4 linked regions of the Drosophila melanogaster genome follow. The gene in region 2 interacts genetically with the main gene of each other region. Each region holds a gene or a part of one and is shown on either strand. Other genes may lie near its edges.

Evidence for each region.
Region 1: of fz (region 2) and meru, changing one enhances a phenotype caused by changing the other (phenotypic enhancement), as found in Drosophila melanogaster (one study listed by BioGRID).
Region 3: of fz (region 2) and Rok, changing one suppresses a phenotype caused by changing the other (phenotypic suppression), as found in Drosophila melanogaster (one study listed by BioGRID).
Region 4: of fz (region 2) and zip, changing one enhances a phenotype caused by changing the other (phenotypic enhancement), as found in Drosophila melanogaster (2 studies listed by BioGRID).

Annotation. Positions count from the first base shown.
Region 1 is NT_037436.4:15,838,058-15,845,816, reverse strand, and holds the start of meru (meru), read left to right. Parts: upstream 1-1,754; 5' UTR 1,755-2,273; intron 2,274-2,321; exon of another isoform or gene 2,322-2,411; intron 2,412-4,687; 5' UTR 4,688-4,731; coding exon 4,732-5,085; intron 5,086-5,820; coding exon 5,821-5,980; intron 5,981-6,162; coding exon 6,163-6,308; intron 6,309-7,064; coding exon 7,065-7,759.
Region 2 is NT_037436.4:14,272,382-14,277,384, forward strand, and holds the start of fz (frizzled), read left to right. Parts: upstream 1-1,961; 5' UTR 1,962-2,673; coding exon 2,674-3,345; intron 3,346-5,003. UniProt on the Drosophila melanogaster protein: Receptor for Wnt proteins.
Region 3 is NC_004354.4:16,634,383-16,639,369, forward strand, and holds the start of Rok (Rho kinase), read right to left. Parts: upstream 3,033-4,987; 5' UTR 2,046-3,032; intron 1,980-2,045; 5' UTR 1,902-1,979; coding exon 1,840-1,901; intron 1,286-1,839; exon of another isoform or gene 1,193-1,285; coding exon of another isoform or gene 1,158-1,192; intron 1-1,157. Other genes in the region: RpS19a (ribosomal protein S19a), read left to right, coding at 3,851-3,921, 4,024-4,423.
Region 4 is NT_033778.4:25,008,418-25,013,086, forward strand, and holds the start of zip (zipper), read right to left. Parts: upstream 3,047-4,669; 5' UTR 2,925-3,046; coding exon 2,895-2,924; intron 2,792-2,894; exon of another isoform or gene 2,683-2,791; intron 2,200-2,682; coding exon 1,963-2,199; intron 1-1,962. UniProt on the Drosophila melanogaster protein: Nonmuscle myosin appears to be responsible for cellularization. Required for morphogenesis and cytokinesis. Necessary for auditory transduction: plays a role in Johnston's organ organization by acting in scolopidial apical attachment.

The sequences.
Region 1 (7,759 bases), 1.6 Mb from region 2:
GAGGTGGTATAATTTCAGCTTGTATTCAATCGATTCCTAATGAGCTTGAACATTATTGAATATTTGTATTGCCCAATCCTAATGAGTCGAATGGAAATTATTGGGTGGCTAAGCAAAGCAGTTGGAACCAAGGTAAATATACACCAAGTTCATTCGAAGATCGATCGGATTGAGTGTAATGCATTTCGAAGAAATATTGTGTCTCGCAATTTGTATGGATTTTGACTTATGAAGACCTCTATTTTCATTGACATTATAATCTTAACTCATAACTAAGTAATTCAATTATAAATATTATGCAGTTCTTTCATTTGCCAAAGGGTAACATATATATCATTTATAATTACATTAAACCAAAGAAAAAACCGATCAAAATAATACATCTATATGAAAGTATAATCTCCAATAAAAGGATTACTTATCGAACTATTTCCACAAGCGTGGCTTTTACTTTCTCATTCATAGAGATACAAAAGCCAGTCGCTAGAACCATTAGCACTACTTCTTAGATAGCATTGGGCTAACCCCTCCCAAATTTGATTCCATATATTTTTACTCCCAGCCTAAGTTTTTTGATCCTGACCGAAAAAAGTCTGTTAGCAACAAATGTACAACGAAAGGAATACAGAAAAAAAAATTGAATCGAAAAGCAAATGCTACCCATTAACAATAAAATACACAGCGAAAAAACAGTGGGGGTGGCAAATAGGCTGGTCGAAGAGTGGGCGAAATGGATTGGGGGGGATAAAAACAAGGCAGAAATTCGTTTTTTATGTACCGCGAGTTTTTTATAGTTTGTTGTTGCTGCTGTTGTTGGTGGCACGTTATCAACAATCTCGTTTTACCAAATAACGCAAAGTGCGCGTCATGGCATTGGTGCACTGCAAAAAACATTGCTTTATTGTAATTAGCATAACCCATTCATAAAATCTATATCTATTTGAAATAATATATGTAAATAAGGGGTTTTTTTATGGTGTGTATTAAAAATATTGTCATATTTAAGCGAATGTAAATTTAAATTTAAATTATCAGAATACTAAGATGCGCATTTAATATTAAAATAAAAGTATCTGAAAGAATGCAATAGACTAAAAGCGGATTAATCACTAAAGAAAGGAAAGTTAACTTGAAGTATTTCGATAAAAACTTTTTAACAGTTCCCACAAAAAAATATATTACTGAAAATCATAGTAGGTAGGAAGTAGGAGCAGTGTTAAGATCACAATGACAGCAAATATTTTTCCCAGTGCATTTCTGGCTGGTGCTGATGGTGGTTCCTAGTGTTTCCTGGTGTTTCCTGGTGTTGGTGGTGCTGTTGGCGGGCAGCACACGCTACAGTTCGCTTATGGAACGGCTCAAACTGCATTAAAGAGCGAAGGGAGTGGTCGTGGTAGTAGTTGGTAGTGGTAGTGGTAGATGGTAATGACAGTGGTATTGGTATTGGTCCTGGCCGAAAGAGAGTAGTTCTAGAAGGCTAGGGCTAGTGGAAATTGGTAGGAACACTCCGACGTATATAGCGTATTATATTTTTTTACTCAGTTTCGGTGGTGGCTGGTGGTTGGCCAAAAGACGGTGGCAGGATGACGATGATGATGACGACAGCAGGGGCAGGGAACCTACCCTCGGATCGGGCGCTCTCTCTTTCTTTCCTGCCCCTTCCCTTCCCGCAACGCCAGGTGTGTCGGTGTGTCGGTGTGCGTTCCTGCGAGCTGCTCGCACCGTTTTTGCTTTAAAGTTTTGTGTGGTAGCAAATAAAATTTTAGTTAGTCACTTGCCGTCGTCAAGGATACGCCGTTCAGTTATTTGTTGTGCAACGTTGTTCCTGGCAACCACGAGTCCTCGGGCAGCAAGGACCTGTGCCGCTTCGGAACGAAAGGCTTTCAGTGCCAGGCTCGAATCGAGTGCTAGCGACAGGGACAGCAACATTAGCACCTGTCTAGATCTAGAAACCTTTTTATATACTCGTTTATTATCCGGCCGGTAGGCGGCAGCGCTGCCAACTGCGCAGTCAACGTCGACGTCGCTGCCTAGCTCACCTTACATAGCCGCAAATTCAAATTTGAACTTCAGTCAAGTGTCAAAGCTCAAAGGATTAGCATGTCCTTGCAGCTGCAGCTGCAGTGTGAACCAGTGAAGACCACTGAAAAATACAATCTTCAGAACCAAATTACTCACTAGCTTGCCAAAAAGTGAAGAAACACGGCCAAAAGCCGAAAAGGATCAACCTGAAAAGTGCTGACAACTGCCAGATTTGGAGAAACTATCTAAAGGTAAGCGATCTCAGGTGATCCAGCGATCCAGAGCTGTAGCTCTTCAATTTGCTGACTTTGAGTCTTGGCACTGGGAGAATTCACAGTTGACTTTATTATTCTGTGGTTCTGCGGGTGCCAAAACTTAAAAACCGGCTTTGTACAACGATTTCTAAGCCATTACAATTTGAACAAAATAAAATAAGTAGAGCGTTCTTAGGTTTATAAGGAGTATATGGATATAGATCAGTATATATCAGTATCAGATCAGTATATCTATATGTATATAGATCAGTTGTTCGAATTAACGAAAAACGTTGTAGGAAAGTAAAGCCCCAAAAAAGATCTAAAAAATGTATTAATAAAATAATAATAATATATAATAATATATAATATATATATATATATATATATATATATATTATATAATATAATACAATAATATATAATAATAATATATATATAATATATAATATATACCCCATTTAACTTGTTTTTTTTTCATTTAAGACTTCTAGGCCAATCTTAACGATTGAAAGAGTTTTCATTAAGCTTTAGAAACAACCTAAAACCCCTATATATACTATTCTTCCTATGTCCAGTAACAGATCGACTGAAATAAAAGTCAAATCTGTTTACATATTTAATTGAAAAGTAGTTTCCCTAAGCCAAAAATAATTTTTTCTTATCCAAGTTTGGACAATACATTATCAAATCACAGCCATAGCTATATTACTCATACGCCACCGGTACCAACCCCATTGAACTGCCAACGTCACGACAGCGTTGGTTCCTCTACTTTCATTTTAGAATCCAATGCGCAGTACCAAAACAAAATTAATTTCCATCCAACACGCAACGAAAAAATCGAGTAGGATTTCAGGGGAGCAATTAATTTGGGCCGGGCTAAAATTGTTAAAGACTTAAAAATACATAAAAAAAAAACAATGCCCAGAGTGAGACACAATCGCTGGCTAAACTTTAGAGACATTGAACTTTCGGGGGTCAAAAGTATTTCTCAACTTGGCCAACTGCCCTCTCATAAATGTATTATGAGGGGAGGCAGTCAAGCCCCCTCTCAAAACAATTAAGTGCAATGCAAAGGGCGTGTCAGAGTTCAGTAATTGACCTCACCAATGGAAATTTACATTTGAACTTATCTTGATTGGAAATTACATTTTTAAATGTACACTGTACATGTCCAGATGTCCAGCGTAATCAAAGGCAGCCCCCGTTCAAGGATATCTAGTGGCAGGACTATTGGCCCAGGTGGAAATCCTTTTGCAAATTGCTTCACTCATAACTCATTTCTCTAATAGAAACGGGGGCGTGGCCCATCGCTAACGGCACCTGTCCAGAGAGCAAATAAATATTTGATGAGGGAATTCTGAAAACTTCTGTAAATTCCGATTCAATTGTAGTTTTGAGCACAAATAAGCTCCTTGGGGAGCTTACCTTAGTTGTAGTTCTTTAAATAATTTTTGAAATTAAATTAATTGGTGAGCAGTTAAAATGAATTTCGGAACTTTTAATCTCGATATCATAAAAGATCTAAATACTCATTGTAATTGAATTAGTTGGAATGGAATTTGGGAACATTCATTCTAAAATTAAACAGGATAACATGATCGTATATATTTAATTTATATTTTAACCTTTTGCATTGCAAGGACTATTCTATCTCCCGTAAAAACAAAGCAATTTCAGCACTTATATTTTAGAAAATTGCTAGCCAAAAATATTTCAGCACCCTAACCGCCGTCAATCTATATAATTTGAGTTCCTTCGCTGCATTTTCCGGCGGCATAAATTAGCATTAATTCATAAGTCAGTAGTCAGGCCACCAATTGCAATCCAAAAAAAAAAAAAAAGAAAATGAAGCAGAAAGGAAAATGTTTTTCGGCTGGAAAAGCGAATTTGCATACAAACTGCAATGTTCGTACAACGCCCCCCGAACAACAAATTATGTGTGGGGGGCCCACAGGGGCCGTGAAATGGTGAATAGGGTCCTAGTAGGCCTCGTAGGATTCCGATGGCTTCACTTGGGTTTGTGGCAGTGGCGAATGGTGGATTGAATGGGGGGGGAATGGTGCGACAGCCTAAACGCCGGCAATGTTCCTGAATAATGGGCCACCGGCGCCAACTGACGTTGGTAGGCAATTTTCTAGGAATCTAGATGGGTTTGCGTCGTGTGTCTATGGTGAGGTGCAACTCTATACATATACATATGTATGTGTACTATATGTACCATATAGGTGCACATGTTGTGCGGCAAAGGGCTACTGCATAATTTATTTAATCGCGGGCAACAAATCTAAATTGATCGTTAGGCGTAGGCGAACGAACAGCCAGCTGAACCAACAAAATGTCTAACAAGGATATTGCATGTTCTCTATATGTATTAAACTATTTTTTCCACCGCTTTTCCATTGCAGTGCCAATTAGCCAGAGAGGTTTTTCAAAAGGCGGTCAAAGGAATATGGCGCCCCAACAACAGAACTCCACATTCATCGATGATAATCTGGACAGCTGTCCATCGCTATTGAATCTACCCGAAAGTCCCATTCTTCCGCCGCGACGATGTCAAAATCAAGACACCAACAATAATAATAATAATAATAAGCAGGCTGCATTCGAGGAGCGTTTGGTGGATGAATCGCCATCGGTGGGGGAGCCACCATTAGCACCACCCATACCTCTGGCCATACCCATGGCACCAGCACCACCACATCGGCAAGCATGCAAAAATAAACACGGCAGGGAAAACGGAAACGCTGGCCAGGCCAGTCGTCGCCACCGTTCCATTTCCCTCTATGGCGTTAATAGCACTGTGGTAAGTGCCTCCTCCTCCTGCTCCTGGTCCTCCGGCTCCTTTGGCCACTCACCACCCCACTCCAGTCCCCGCCCCTGATTTTCGGTTGCGCCAGCATTTCCACTGAAATAAAACAAATCATCTAATTGGGTGGGCAGTCACTGGCGGTAGTCATATGCTTATGTGGATAGGGTTATACTTACATATAAGCGTGTGTGAAACTTCGATAGTGCGTCTGTTACTCAAGAAATTGATTGCAACCTTGCGTTTTCGTAAGAATCGAAAGGAGACTTAACTTAATTCTTTAGATATTATCTAATGGTTCTGGTAATGGGCTTAGAACTCAAAAGGGAGTCGTTTATTGAACAGGATAACATTTAATGGACTTGCTTATAAATAAATAAGATAAAAATGAGATTTAACTCAATATTACCATTTAATTATATTGGCTTAGTAGGAAAATATATAGAGCTTCCACCAAAATATAATCAAATCTAAATAATTCCTTGAGCACTTTCATATCTATCCAATATAGAAAGTTAGTACAGGTAGATTTCAATACAGTTGATTGACTATTATTATGAGTATTATTCTTTAGGAGTTTACCTTAAATTTATATTACCTTACTATAAAGAAATTCTTTGAAAATTTCCCTTGCTTCTAAAACCCATACCCCATCTTACAACTCATTCCTAAAAACCTGGCAATCCTCTTAATCGATCTACATACTCCTCTGTTCTTCTGGCAACCCTTCAGGAGCAAGGCCACAAGGAAATACCCATCTGGATGGACGACGGAGAGGCTCGTTACGTATCCGGAGTGACGAACAAGACGACGTGCGATGACATAATCAAGGCGCTGATTGATGACGAACTGCGAAACGGCAATGGATTCTACTGCGGCAATAATCCGAAAGGTAGGTTAATAATAATAATTCCCAGGCGATCCTGTCGTGACTGCTACTTTTTTTTTTATACATCACAATTTGGCTTTTTATTTATTTATGCTCCTTATTTACAATTTCTTTTATTTTCTCTCATTTTGCGTTTCGTTCCGTTTCATTCAATTTTCCCGTTTTCCGCACGTTGGAAAAACAAGATGGCGGCCAGAGGAAAACGGCAGCAGCATCGCGTGACTACAGCGATTACATTATAACGGAAAGTTGGGGCGGAATAGAGCGGTGCTATGATGGCAACATGGCCATTTTGCCCGTTTGGCGCGCTTGGAGCCGTGTACACAATGAGGTAATGGCAACGGTCGGTGGACCAGGGGAATCCCACCTGGCGTGCAGAAAGAAAAGGAACAAAATAAAACAGAAACACCAGCGAACGGGGCCCGAAAGCACAAAAAAAAAAACCAAAAGTCTACAGTGATTGCATAATAAGCGCTTTTTTCCTGGCGCCACACGCAAGCCAAGAAATTCATGTCGTTCTCGAAAACCCATTCCATACGTTCTCTATATCCCCCTTTCAAAGTCACACCCGCGCCTATTATATATGTACATATGTATATATATATGTACATATATAGTACCACTCGCATTTGACTTATGCTTTGGCTTTTCGTATTTATTTGTTTATGACGCACAGAGTGAAATCAATTTGCTTATTGATTTTTATATCAAAGTTCATGTTTTCGTTTTGGTCTAATTATGTTGTAAATGTTTTATGACCCCAACCATTAGCAATGGGAATAATGTTATTCGAGGAAAAGGAACTCCTAATTGTTATTTGATGATCTTATCCAGTTAATGGATGGAAAGGGTTAAAAACAAGCGCCAAGGTAGTTTTATTGTTAGAGATGTATTAATGACAATATAATCATAAAGTGGGATATTTAGTTTTACCTTGTTTTGTATAAATAAAAAAATAGTCAATTTGTGGCGTAAATAAGAACAATATACAGTGAGGAGTAAAACATGGTCAAGAAGTCATAAACTTTTAAGTTTTTAACGAACTTCAATTCATTAATAAATAATTATTTCTCCTGTTTTTTTACAGCTCCGCATCTCCTTAAAACATCGTGATAGTTTCAGAGATCCCCTTGCCATGCAATTAGTGCCCCATTCACAATCAGCCACGGGATTTTCGATGTACAAGTGGCTCAAGAAGCTATTGCATCTGAAAAAGGGTAAAAAGACGCCACCAAAACCCACAAAAACGCCTCCAAAAGTGCCGAACAAATTAAAGGAGAAGAGAGTGCACGGCCAAAAGCAAACGATGACCAATGACTTGGTGCTGGTTATAATGCCAGACCAACTGTATAGGGGTACCGAAAACACTGCCAAATCCAAACTTTATAAACTGGCCGAGAATCGCGTCAGCAAGCAGCGTCATCGAAGAAGAAGTCGTCACGAGATAACCAAAGCCTCGGTTGAAACATTTAGAACAGCGATTCCCAGCGAATGCAATAACAACAACTACAATGTTAATAACTGCATAAGGAGGCGAAAGGATAAGCCCTTGCGAAATAGTGTACGATATAAGTTGGCATCTCTTCATGCCGATATGAATGTTCGCTATGAAAAGGAACACGCTCTAACACGTCAGCTATCGGAAATGTGCCGACTGTACCGATTGCAGAACGAACGGTACAAGGGACCGGAAATGGAGCTATCGGTCGGGCAGTTGCAACAAAATATCGAAGCCTATGCCGAGGACATTATTAAAACTGAACACGAACTTCTCGAATTGAA
Region 2 (5,003 bases):
CGGCAAACGGAAACCGACTGAACAACAACAATGGAGACCCAGAAGCCAAGACATACATGCACTGGAAAAAAATTTATATCAATATTTAATTTAAATTTGTGATATGTAACCACACATCGTAGTAAAAATCTACTCATAAATATTATCATATATGTAAATAATGAATTGATGGGAAATTTTATCTTAAAGCGAAGAAATTCGAAAGATATGTGCTTAGACAGCTTAAAATCGTTAGTAGTAGTAGCCTTTAACATATTCCAAGCTCCTCTACGGAAATTATAAATTATATGTTTGTTTATTATTATAGTATATAAGTGATTTTAAAAGTGCACTGCTTATTTATCTGAAAATTGTACTTTAATTTTTTGTTAAGTGTATCTAGCGATTGCAAGGGGGAGACCGAGAAAAAGAGCCTTTTTATGCGGCGCAACTTTGGCGCTTTTTATTAAACAAGCCGACGAAGTGTAGAAGCGAAGAATAGGATGAGGAGGTGGCGGTGGGGGAGAACTGGGGTTGATGGAGCCAAGAAGAGAGCGGATAAAAAGAGCAAAGCATAAAATGAACTTTGCCGGCTAAACCGGTAACACTTGTTTAACGCAAAAGAGAGTGCGGGAGAGCCAGTTATGTGCTGAAAGAGATATGTTAAGTAGAGAGCGACAGAGACAGAGAAAGCCTGATCGGAGAAAAGGGTTCTACAGGTGACAAAGACAAAAGACTGCCAAGACTCCTTTAATGTCATCATTATTGTCAATATAACAAGTTTATTGACTGGCAGCAGATGCCTAACCCCCCACACCTCCCTTGGCGATCCACCACGGGGTCATTAGACAAATTCCCGCGATAAGTTCTCTTCACTCATGCTAAAGCTCAGATTAAACGCAAGTTAATGACTTAATTAACTGCCGGAAAAAAGCGAGCAAGTAAACAAACAACAGCAAAAACTAAAGATAAAGATAAATGGTAAATGCAAGTGCGCAGAGAAATGGTCGACGATAAAAATTGTCGCAGAAATCAAGGAAATTAACGCGTGCAAATATGTATTTCTATAGAGGAAGAAAGCTGGAGAAAAGCAATTATTATAGGTATATTCCAGTAGAGGGCAAATGTCTTCTAACGGCACTTGCAACAGCTGAAGATTACCAAAGAACAGTGGGAAGTGTAACGGGCATCGATGGATTGATATAAAAAGATAAGAAGGTGCGGTGACCTAAGCAATATGACATTTTAGAAACTGAAAAATATTTAGCTGACATGCACTGTAACTTTTTGACATTCGGACATAAATGTTGTATACTCATTTCGTTTTCGGATATGTATCCCATTTCAGCAAGGATTTTTTGCTGGCAAAATGATTCTAGTCTTTTTATATTGGAGCCATTTTAAATGCAGCACTTATTTCTTTTATTCATTTTATAAGCATAAGATTGGTTATAATTTATTATATCGAAAAAATGGTTAATTAATTAATATTTAAATTGGAATCTATAAATATTTAAGTATTTACAAAGTGAATATCGATGTTCAAATTTCCATTGAGCGGGCCCAACACCTAGATTTGGGCACAGCTTCCGCCCCTAATTTCCTATTAGCCCTGTCGATTGCATAATCATCTTGAATTCTAATTAATTAAATGGTCTCTTATTTAGTTGTTTGTTGATGCTTTCTTTTTCCTGTCTGCTAATCAACAGGAGGCCAAGAAGTTGAGAGGAGACAGAGTGCGAGCGAGACAGCATCCAAACAAAAGGCATAACAGCCCTGTCTTTCACTTCGCTCTCTTTGGCTCTCTGGCTCTCCCGCCGAGAGTGTCAAATTCAAGGTCGCCCCCAGTGCTATACTACAAAGCGTATAGCTGAATAAAACCTCCTCTCACACCATTCGAGCGAAAGAGCGCATATTCAGCGTGTGAGCAGGAGAACGATACGGTGAGAGAGCGGCTTGGAAAGAGCCCCATGTTTTCAGTTCCTCAGTTTGTCAGCGTATGCCCTACCATGCGGATGTGCTCGCGGATTGATTTCGACTCGAACTCCGGCTCCGTTTTCGTCTTTTAACGTAAGTCCCGTGCGAAAAAGTTGAATTCGACTCCGTGTTTGTTCAGTTATTTTTTTGCGCGGTTTTCGAAAAAGTGAAAGAAATAAGGAAATTCAAAAAGCGGGGGAGGCATAAATGATATACAGCTAACGGTACTTATGTATGTGCATACAGCAAGATAAAAATGTGGCTGCTAGAAAAGTAAAGCCCGGTACTGTGCCAGATAAAAGCCAACGCTACTAAGTCCTAAAGACCCCCAAAAATTAAATTTTGACACAATAATATTTTGCCAACAACAAATAGCAAAGTCGAATTCAAACGGTTAAACCAAATTGAAGTCGGAAAATAACAAAAAAAGTCTAAACAAAATAAAGAGCAAAAGCAAACGCAAATAAGAGAATAGAGAGAAATATTTATTATTTGCTTATAAGGCCAAACTAAATATTTGCCGCCGGCAAATATTTAAAAGGTGTTAAGTGTTTCGTGGGAGTGAAGTTTTTAAACAGGGAAAATAAATCAAATAAGTATTCAATGGTGTATAAGTGAGTGCAAGTAGATGAGCAACATGTGTGTGTTTTAAAGTGTTTAAAGAGATCGAGAAAAAGCCCCAAAAGTTATTTGACAGCGATATCGAAAAATTCCAAAATGTGGCGTCAAATCCTGTTTATTTTACCCACCCTGATACAGGGGGTCCAGCGCTACGATCAGAGCCCCCTCGATGCGAGTCCGTATTATCGCAGCGGCGGGGGATTAATGGCCAGTTCTGGGACCGAACTAGATGGACTGCCACATCACAATCGCTGTGAACCCATCACCATATCGATCTGCAAGAATATACCATATAACATGACCATTATGCCAAATCTTATTGGCCATACCAAGCAGGAGGAGGCGGGTCTGGAGGTCCATCAGTTTGCTCCGCTCGTGAAGATCGGCTGCAGTGATGACCTCCAGTTGTTCCTCTGTTCCCTGTACGTTCCGGTCTGCACAATTTTGGAGCGACCCATTCCGCCTTGTCGATCTCTGTGCGAATCGGCGCGGGTATGTGAAAAGTTAATGAAAACCTACAACTTTAACTGGCCGGAAAATCTGGAGTGCTCCAAATTTCCCGTCCATGGAGGCGAGGATTTGTGCGTGGCGGAGAATACCACATCATCGGCCTCCACGGCGGCCACGCCCACAAGGAGTGTGGCTAAGGTCACTACCCGTAAACACCAGACGGGCGTAGAAAGTCCGCACCGAAACATTGGATTCGTGTGCCCCGTGCAACTGAAAACGCCTCTGGGAATGGGCTACGAACTAAAAGTTGGCGGAAAGGTAAGTTCTTTAATGAAAATAAATTCACTAAAAAGCGCCGAAAAATAAGCATCATATAAAAATAGGGGGTTATAGGCGCATACTGTATACCTTTTAAAACATTAGTTTTCTATTATTTATGCATTTAATTTTATGATTAAACATGTTATGATTATGACAAAAGTTAAAAACAAGTTCTATAATCATCCGTCGGGTGAGCACAAACTTTTAACCATGTCCAAACTAAAAACGAAGTTGCACAAATAAATTTTGGGTACTAACATCTGTTTAGCGAATGTATTTAGCGCTTTCTTGACTAAATGTATGCTTTAAGTACCCCAAGCCTTTTAGTGAGTATTTCGTTTATTTCTGGAACTTAATATGCCACATTTGGGTTGGTCCCATGTAGGTCAATGATTTTTTTATGTCTTCATTTGAACTCCAGACTCAATTTGTAGAGCAGCGTAGAAGTAGGGAAAAATGCAAATCCTGTTGCGCCGAGAAAACAATTTCCAACCACCAGGGAAAACAGCAGGAGGTCCTTGGCAGGCCAGGAATAACGAGAAGAAGGAGAGAAGGGCGACGAGCCCGCATTCTACCTGCCCGCAGCTCACAAAAGATGGTTAACAGCGGCAGGTAGATCGTTTTTTCTTTGGCTTCGGTTGAGGAAAGGTAAACCAGTTCTTTTTGGAGTTGTGTAATTTGTAATGCCTGCTTAAAAGTATTCCCAAAAAAAGTAAAAAAAAAATGTAACATGAACCATAGAATGTTTAATAACTTGAACTGAGGGTCAGCCTGTTGCATTTTCACGTTCTTTAATTAATTTTCCACCCTTTTCCTTTAGCAGCTTTTTTTCGGGTTCTTAAGCCCCTCAGCAGACTGATTTTTCCACGATTTATTTTCTGTTGGTTTTGGATGAGTGATGATCATCGTCTATGTGTTTCCAATGTGTTTATCTTTTGCTATTTTTAGCCGTCACTCTGTTGTTGCCGGCTGCCATAAGTAAAGCGCATTAAATACTTTGAGGCAGGATAATTCACACTTCCCTCAGTGTCTGGATATCTGGCGGATACATGTGTATCTCTTAGCTACTTTACCATTGCGATTTCTCGGTGTTTTTTCTTCTTTCGTCTCACTCGCTTTTTCTTGATTGGTCTCGTTTTTCCTTGGCTGTGTGTCATCAGTTCCTCTTGGCCTTGCTGCCTTCTTTCCATCCCCATATCATCATGGCTGTCAGCATCTTTGGTTTAGCCGGAGTCCCCAGACCCCGTGCTTAAATGCCTTTTGAGAGCTGCGTGCGAAATTTAGCAGCTTGTTTGCCTGGATTGCATTTGGCCCACATCACGATTCTGTCTGTAAGAGTATCTGCAAATGAATCCGTATCTGTATCTCTGTGTGTTTTGGCCCTGTTTGCCGTGCTTTATGAGCTAGATAGGTCTCTTTGTCTGCTAATGATAATGGCGCAGTGTGAGAGCGTGAATTAATGCTTATTGGATAGATAATGATCCGACAATATAAACATATAATTGCCATGTTAGAAACTAGTGGTATTAACAAGCGTTTTATAAGGGCTCCACAGGTACAGATAAGAAATTGGTCGAAATCAAAATTATAAACTTTATGATTAATAGACAAAGAACTATATTTTAACCCAGAGAAATATTGATTGATATTAGAAA
Region 3 (4,987 bases), on a different chromosome or scaffold from region 2:
AAAATCTTGCGAATGTAAATATATAGAAAATTAATTATAACAATTAGGTATTTGCATACGAGGTTACTAGAGCATGGGAAAAGCGCTCTTTCAAATGGAATTTCTCGGCAAATTAAACTACATATTCGGCAAAGAATGAAACAATTAAATTTGGCCTGCCAGTGCGTTGGTTCTGAATTTCTAAATTTAAAGGCATTTTCCGGTCAAAAACTAATTCCCGTAACCAAGATTTATGTGCAATTAGCAAGATGCAAGATGTCGGAGATGCGGAGTCAGTCTGTCAGCGATTGGGAATCGAATTTCGGTGCCCAGCAAGCAAAAGTCAGACTCAGATGCAGGAGCAGGCAAACTGCGATGACAGTCGGCGCTAAAAATTGATACTAAAAGGTGTTTGAATTGTTGTGATTTCATCATCGCCACTTACGGCATGACAGAAAAGCCAAAAACAAAACGCTCAAGCAGCGGGTAATAGCAGCACACACACACACCATACACAAAAGCAAACAACTTGGGAAAGTGGAATTTTCAAAAATGCTGCGATGAATTTTCGTTGCCGCTGTTGATTTCGATTTGGCCAAAGCGGCAAAATGGCAACAACAACATAATTATGAGCAACATTATTGACAACAACAACGGCAATAATAATACATAATAACCAACGACGACGATGACGACGACGACGACAACATTATCGTCACCTATAGACAATATAATTTTCAACTTAATTTATACAACGTCGCCAAATTCGATCTGCCAGTTTTTACAAATTGAACGCTTCACATTCAACACACAGAGATAGAGAGTGGTACTGCATCTGCGTTGCAGAATCTCTTCACACCTTATTAATTCTAATTAATTATTTGCCCAGGCAGCACAAAGGAACTGTTCGGCTTTTATAACCAAATGCGCATTGCAATTGGCCATTGTTAGTACGCAAATGCCTTAACGTTTGCTTCGCTTATGACTGCTTACAGCAGATACCGAGTGGGGATGGGTAATTAAATTTAAGTATTTATATGCATACTCGACGCTGCGGAATTGCTGGGCAAATTGTATTCTCGGAATTTGGAATGCAAGCGAACCAGGACGACAACTGGTAGCTGAGAGCTGGATGCTGAATGCTGAATGCTAGGAGCGTGGAGATGAGAACAACGTACCGTTCCGGCTCGCACGAATGGAGGGCGGCGGGCATTAGCCATGTCCCCATGCCCTATACCGTCTACTGTCCAATGGAAGAAACCGGCGTGGTGCTGGCTATCTATTCTACCTTTTTGGCCCAAAACGATGCAAACGATGCAGCCGATGCAACGCGACGCCTGCAACTGACAAACGGCGGCATCAGCCACTGTGCGTTCGTTTTAGTTCGCTTTTCGTTTTCGTTTTGGTTTTTTTTCTTTTTGGTTTGGTTACAAATTTTAATGCGAAAATGGCAAATTTATTATAAAGTCGCCCCCCGTTTTGTTCACTCGCTTGTCAATTTGATTGCCGCGCTGTCGCTTTGAACATGAGATATGGAAGGTGTTTGCCAGCGGTGTATTACTTTTTGATTTGTTTTGGCCAGGCCCGTTTGGCTTGCGCTGAATTGTGCTAGCTGGCTAGTTGGCTGGTTAGGTGGTTAGCTGGTTAGCTGCTTAGCTGCCTGCTTGGCTTGGTCAGTTGAACAAATCACAAATCTGTCTGTACAAATCGCACGTATCTGTGCGATGGCTACTGCCACTTCTACTTCTACTTCGACTTCTACTATTGCTATTGCTGCTGCTGCTGCTGCTGATGCTGCCATTCAGGTGACAATTAATTGAGTGGAGCAGTCGCTTTTGGGCCGCCATCTCGTGCACTCACCGGCGCCTTCGTTCCACATCCATGCTGCGCTGCTTGGTCACAGTTTCTCGTCCAGCTGGCATGCAAATGCAAGATAACAAGCTGATACTGCTGCTCCAGCTGCTGCTTCCTGTTGGTCAACTGCTGCTCCTGTGCTGCAACTGAAAGCGAAGCAAGGGTTTAACAGAGTTCTCTTCGGGGTACACATATTTATATTGTACATTTACCTGCCAGGAGTTGTTGGACGTCTGTCTATGCTGGGAATGCTAATAGTAATGAGGAGAGGAGGCACGCGTCAAGCGCTAGTTGTTTGCTGTTTGCTGGCGATGAGGTCACGAGTGTTTCGTTGGATTTCTGGCTAACTGCTGCCACTGAACGCCAATCGAATACGGATGGGGATGGGAATGGGAATGGGTATGGGTATGGGGATTGGGCACTTGGCGCTGGCTTCTTTTGGTGGAGTGCCGCCAACGCCACATGCGGACGCAGCCGAGCACCCGGGCGTTCCCAGGTGCGTTTCCCACACGGCAGGCAGGTGTGCTATCGATTCCCGGAAAATGCTATCAATCTAGTTTACTTCCTGTGCAAATGGGATCGTAATGACCAGGATGATCACGTTGACCACGATGGATTGTTGGGTAAACAAGGGAACGGGGATTATTGTCCGCAGTCCGCTTGGCATGCAACAGTTGTGTCAACACTTGTGGCCAAAAACCTGGCCAAAATGTGTCGAATGCGGCGGATTGGTGGTGTTGAAGGTGGGCTTTTGTTTCTCGGCCTTTTGAGTTGTTGGTTTTTGTGTGCCCCAATCAAGTAGCTTTTTCCTTCTTCTATTTTTTTGTTAATTCCAACGATACCTCTGTGCACACACACTTACACGAGCGCACGCACACCAGTGCACTGCGAACGGCGAACGTAGCAAGCGCTACAACAACAATAACAAGGCGCTTCACAGACACACACACACGCGCGCACACACCGATGTGCGTCACACCGACGTACTGTCCGTCGGCAGCGGGGGAAACGCACGGGGGGGCGGGACGGGACGGGGGCGGCTGACCGCCCAAATTGCGAATGTCCAGTTTCGGCCGCGGCCAAATAGATCAATTTGGTTTCAATTAGACGCTGCGCGTTGCACTTATTTTATTTCGGCTCGGTGCTGGTAGAGATGGCAATTGTGTTTACATATCGAAGTTGAAGTATCGAAGTCACTAGGCGCCGATGAAAATACCAGAATATACCAGGGCCAACAGGTGGCGCTCCAAATGGCGATGGTGCTGCGGCAATATCGGTTGTCTGCGTCATCGATGGGCCGCTTGTTATTCGATAGACTCAGAAACTAGCTTCATGAATAGTTATGTAAATCGGTTGCTAACAAAATAAAAAGCAGTTATTTATGAATAAAGTGATACAGCAAAATATGAATTGTACTACGCATTCTTTGCCCACATTGAAAATATACTAATACGAAAATGCATGTTTAGACAAGGTCTTCAAATGCCAAGTAATATATAATATAATCTTGGTGTGCTCATTAATTTAAATATTTTTAAAAATAACTATAAATTGAACACATACGTGTTAGAGTATCATTAACCGAATCTTCGATAGTTCGCCGCGCCGGCATTCGATTAATCGATACTATTGCTGGTGGCAGGCCCAGCACTATTAACCGCAGCCAACTTCACGCGCCTTGTTCTTTTTTCCGGTTGACTTTAACGAGAAAGGTTGTGCACGAATTCTTTTCAAGTGAATTATCTTTTTTTTTATGTTTTGAATGGGTGAAATTCAATGAAAGAGCCCACGCCAAGTGGCAAATGACACAATGGGCCGGCCGTAAACACGAAAGGACAGCTTTTTTCGGGTTAAAACTTCGGCTGGCAATTTTTTGTTGTGCCCGTGCATGTGTGTGTGCGAGGGAGAGAGAGAGAGAGAAAGAGTGTGTCTGTGAGAGAATCGTGGAAATCGCGACAACGTGTTTTTGGCAGCATTGTAATAGATTCCCCATTTGTTTTTCCCGTTCTGCCCGCAGATGCCAGGCGTCACAGTGAAGGATATTGACCAGCACGCGGTTACCAAGGCGGTCGCCGTCTTCTTGAAGAAGTGAGTACTGAACATCAAGTATATTTCCACCACATAACCTCACAATCCATTTGTTTATCCCCCCCCAAAAAAAAAAAAAAAAACACGAAAAAAACCAAATAGGACTGGCAAGTTGAAGGTGCCCGACCAGATGGACATCGTCAAGACCGCCAAATTCAAGGAGCTGGCGCCCTACGATCCCGACTGGTTCTATGTGCGTTGCGCCTCGATCCTGCGCCATCTGTACCACCGCAGTCCCGCTGGAGTCGGTTCGATCACCAAGATCTACGGCGGACGCAAGCGCAACGGTGTCCACCCCTCGCACTTCTGCCGCGCCGCCGACGGTGCTGCCCGCAAGGCTCTGCAGGCCTTGGAGCACGCCCGTTTGGTCGAGAAGCACCCGGACGGTGGTCGCAAACTGAGCTCCATTGGACAGCGTGATCTGGACCGTATTGCTAACCAGATCGTGTTCAAGCAGCGCGATGCCGCCAAGCAGACCGGGCCCATTGTTATTTCCAAGTAATCACACGGCGCCCCTTCGAATTCTAAAAAACGCATTTTTAGACTTCTATTGTAAGCGCTTTTTGTTTGCACGAGAGAGATGAGAAAATAAAACCAACCACAATTTGTAAAAGTCTACGAAACATGCGTTCTTCGAATGCTAGAAACATTTTTTATGCGGTCTGTAAACAGGGGAATAGAATAGCTCCTCTTGGCAATGTAAAAAAGTGGTAGATTTATCAGGATGCTGCTCATATTAGTAATATGCATGTGCGAAGAACAATGTGGACAACAGCTACATTTGGCGTAATTAACTAGCCAATTTATACTTTTACCGAGCCTTCACATTGTTAATGGCTTTCCTTCTATTGCTAAACTATCAGTATCAGTTTGGTATTCTGCCCTTAGAAGGTGCATAGTTTCATTAACAATCCATGTGCTAAGTGGTTGCTTGCCTTGCAGAAATAAACATTTTATATCTATACACACTGCTCATGTGCGACAGCATAGTTCATTGAAATTTAGTCATGCGGACTTGGTAAGGTTAATCTTTAGATTTAAATCATTCCCTTTTTGGTGAAATGGT
Region 4 (4,669 bases), on a different chromosome or scaffold from region 2:
ACTTTTCAATTTCATCGTTGGACAATGGAAAAGTAAGCTATGAACTATTAAAAGCATTTAAATAGTTTCAAGATCGCAAATATACATTAACCTATAACCCGAAACCTTCAATGTACAATATATCTAATCCCCACCAATAAACTTGCTCTCTGTGCAATTGATTCGATGAATCATCGCTGTTCAGCAAACAACATGAAACGAAATGTAGCCACGAACAAAAGGTCTCCTTGTGTATCCACCAGTAAATTACTGAATTTGGATATCACGTACGTGGACTGACGCCGCCATTATTCAGCGAATTCGCTTACATTTCGAAAAGCTGGAACAGTTGCTGGAAACGAAACGAGTGTTGACACAATTGGCGAATACCCTTTTGGACGGGTCCGTTCCCGTTAAGACGTAGCTGTATCTGTGGACATTCCAGCGGAGCAACAGTTGCGCTATATGCAAATTTCTTAACTATTTCCACCCGTCTCATGTGCCGTTCGTCAGTCGCAAAGAAATTTTAGCCTTTAGACAATCTGACGGACCACTCATGACAATCGAGCGTTTCGTTATTTTCGTTTTATTTCTGGGTTTTATCTCTGCCGTTGTCTTTTTGTGAGATTCCATTGTAAAGTAAATGTCTGTTAAAGTGATCGCGTAATTACACAAAAATGTGAAGTTGTTGGCTTTTGTTTTCGATGTTGCTTTTATTATACGAAGTCACCCAAAAGTGCTACCATTCTATGTACGGAATTATCTCTGGCAAATACAGCAATTACGGGCAGCCAGGGGAGAAAGGAGCGGTTGATAATTTTATCTGTTTACGTTTTTTATGGTCTTGAAATTAAGTCGTTGGAATGCAGTTGAATGACACCTGAATGAAATCGCTTTAAACTGAAGAAGAGAATAACAAGCCACACCGAAATTAGCAAAACAATCGGCTTGTTATCATAAGGCTTGATCGCTAGCAGTCGACCAAAGTTTTGAATTTGAATTTATAGGCCAAGAGCGGGCGCCCGAACTCCGAGGGAAGCGATTCTTTGGCGCAATCTCGGCTCGTTTCTTTGCTGGCCTGGCTGTGTGGTTGAGGCCAGAAAGCCCCACACAAGCAAGTCCACACCACAAATACCTAGCCACATTGAAAACTTGTTTTGGCCCGCTCTTAGTGGGAACTGCGAACTGGGGCCATTCCTGCTTCCACTCTCCCTCGGAGGTGAGTCACTGAGTCGAAGAGCGTCTGCATGCAAATTGGTACCAAATGGTCGCGGATTTGACCAAGTAAGAAGTTAAATGTGTCACACTACTACGGTGAGATTAATTCAGCATCAGCGCAGGAGAAAAGAGTGATTCAGCATCGACGCCAACGGATGTTTACCCAAGTTTATCACCGCGGTGCGAATGTAATGAAAATTCAAAGAAGTTGGGCCTGTTCAAAATTAAAAATAAACGGATCGGTGAAGCGTGATTCATGACCAATCGATGAGTGAGTCGGATGGCTCAAAAGGTGTTGGCTGATAAGAAGCGCAAAGCCGGGGACAAACACTGTGAAAATTGATTAGAGCACGTACAGCTAGGGCTAAAATATTATCACGATGTGTCGAACACACTATGTTCTATAATAACCATTCACTGCGAAGTAATACTTAGATATTAGATAGTTACATGTAGCAATTTTTTACGCAAAAGAATATGAAAATTAAACGAAAATTAAGTACATTTGGTAATTTTACAAAAAAAAAAAAAAAAACCATAATGGGCTAATGACTACCGACTTCACGAAATAAACAGCGTTATGATGTATCGACTGTATTTTTATCTCAGTTGTAGCAGTTCCTGTTGCATTTAGGCTATCTATAGGGTCTATTCAGGTAGTTCACTGAAACGGGCGTGGCTTCCGGGGTAGAAATCCCGTAGCAGAGGTTGCGTCCAGAGTAGGAACATGCTCTACGGGTAGGCATTACATTTAAGTAGACTCACCTGGTTCTCGTGTGGCACCCACACCAGACGCTTCTGTGTCCACTCGGCCTGCGTGGCCGGATCGTTGAACTGGTTGCGCTCCACCGAGAGGTACTTGAGCTCCGGATCGTTGCGATCTACTTCCTCCGACATTTTGGCGGCGATCTCTAAATAATTCCTTGTCTGTCGGTAATTAGCTGCTTTCGGATAATGGATATTGGATACTGGATATTCGCTTTTCGGATGCAATGCACTTTTCTGTCGGACAAAACAAATCGATGAGAACAATGAGTATGTTGCCTCGCTCCTCAGATACAATATTTCGCATTTATCTCGCGTTTGCGTTCTTTATCTCGGAAGTGCGGCACAAAACGGAGGCGGCGAGAACAGCGCGCGGCGAGAGTTTCAAAAGGGAGAGCGCGAAGGCGAAAGAAAGACGGAGAGGAAAAAATATGGCCACACATTTTCATTTTCTTAAGCCAAAGTCACCGCTGAACGTAGAAGAAGGGGTGGTGAAGTAATTTAGCGGAAAAATAGCGTTACGTAGCAATTAACCAGTTTGCATCTCCTAAAACTGCAGCTAAACACTATCAGAGCACCTTTTCACCTCCGATTTCGGATGTTTCAGTTTTCGGAGCAGGTACAAGCGGCTCTTTTTCTTCCTCTTCGTCTTCTCTCGCTTTGCTTCCCACTTGGTTCGTTCTGCAACACCGACACACAGCACGGCTCACACACACACACACATAGATCGCACTGGGAGCCAAGGTTTCGCATATTCGCATATTTCGCACACAAGTTTCGGTTTTTATGCTCCCATTTCCCCGCGTCAGCACAGCGTTTGTGCAAATGCAGCCAAATTCGACCGTGCAGTTTCAGCTGGCGGCGTCCCGACGCCGGCGAATAGGTCGCTGCATTCGCTGGATGCCTGTGCACATTTCCGATTTTTTTTTTACCGATTTTAATGCAAGCCAGGCGCTTTTCATTTGTTTGGCGACAGCTGCACCCACACACACTCACAAAGACTTCGACCGCAGTTCCTGAGCACGTCTTTTCGCTTTCCCCCTTTTTTTTTCACTGTTTTTCGCCGCTTGCCGTTTTGCCGACCGAGTACTTTTCGAGTTCGATGGTAATCGATGCCTTCCGATTCCATTCGGACATATCGATGCATCGATATGTCGTAGTTCACACGACGGCCGCGGCAGCGCTTTCTGAAAACACATACATCGATATGTCAACACTGATTAAAATTCTACATATGGATCGCATCTAGATTTTGTTTAAAGCACACACCTGTAACATTTTTTCAGGTCGGCCATTGTATTCCTCTATAACAGAATATCTAAGTTTTTAGCAAAGTATCGCATCAGCTTCCTCTGGTTCATGACTGCACTTAAGATCGAAATATTCGCGGCTTCAAGCCAAGCGGTGTCGATTGGAATCGAATACTTCCGGAATAGAAATGAGATTAAATTATTTTGCCGATTTCACTCACTTGCATATTCAGATGTAGCAAAGGATGTTTCCAACTCACTTTTCAATTTATAATATTGGTCAAATTAGTGCAAGCTAAGTATCGTATATGTCGATTTTACTTTTGACATATACGTAGTTCATTTAGTTGGACCGCACGACAACATCAAAATACCTTACCGCCTTTTTGTTTTTGGTGTTTTGCGGGGTCTCGCGTGCTGTCCTCTCTTCGAATCAGTTCTTGGTAAAACCAAACTTCAATAAACCGTTGGGTTAATGCGCGGATGTGCGGATACTTTCAGTTAATTTTGAATTTTTCGAGGAACGGTGAAGGTCCGCGCTTGAATCAGTAAGTCCAGTTCCGAGTATCACAGCCAGATGTGAGTGCTTGGCGCCAGTCGCAATTAAATTGACTTTAATAAAATATCTGGCGGGCTCCTTGCGAACTTTTAATTCTGGGGAAACGGACTTGAGTGATTCCAACTAAGAGCAAGAACACAGTTCCTTAAATGAAGTGCTACTTCTGGCAGCGTTCTTGAGATGCGCGCAGCATCCTTGGCAATGACGTCATTCGCCTGCTGACCAGTTTCTCTGTGTTCGTGTGTATGTGTGGCGAGAGTGCGTATGCGTGTGTATGTGCCGAAATTAGAGCGCAATAGCGAATTCAATTTGCATTTGCGGAAGAAATAACTGCAAACGAACAGAATCGATTGTTGTTGTCGCGAGTGCTTTGTTAAGGATAAGAAGAAGTCGCGACTAGTTCCGCAAAACTCTCACGTTTTGTCTATGGTTTCTCGTTTCCAGAATCCTAAGTGAGGGACTCCGAATAGGATTCATTGGATGACAAACTAACGTGCAGCCAGGAATTATCGATTCAGGTAAGCCATCGTTTCTCCTTGAAGCAACTGGGTCAGACAGCGATAATAATTGCACGTGTAGTTCCTGGTTTTCCACAAAATTGTCGTGGTAAGCTGAGCCACCCCATCTTCCCGAAACCTTCCAGCTTTATGCTGATAATGAATTTTTAATGTGCGCTGAGACTGCTAGTAGAAAAGAAAAAACAAACCCACATAAATTAAACTTGCAAAATCTTCAAAGGACAGAGAACTGCGTCGGTGCTTCCATTCCGCTTTTTTGGGAGGCTGTAAATTATGAAAGACCAGACAAGCGGTAGACAACAAGGTTTGCCCGTTCCCAAGGGATCCCGGGGCAACATAATCAAAGGCCTTTATTACTGGGCTGGAATCGGATGGGGCCC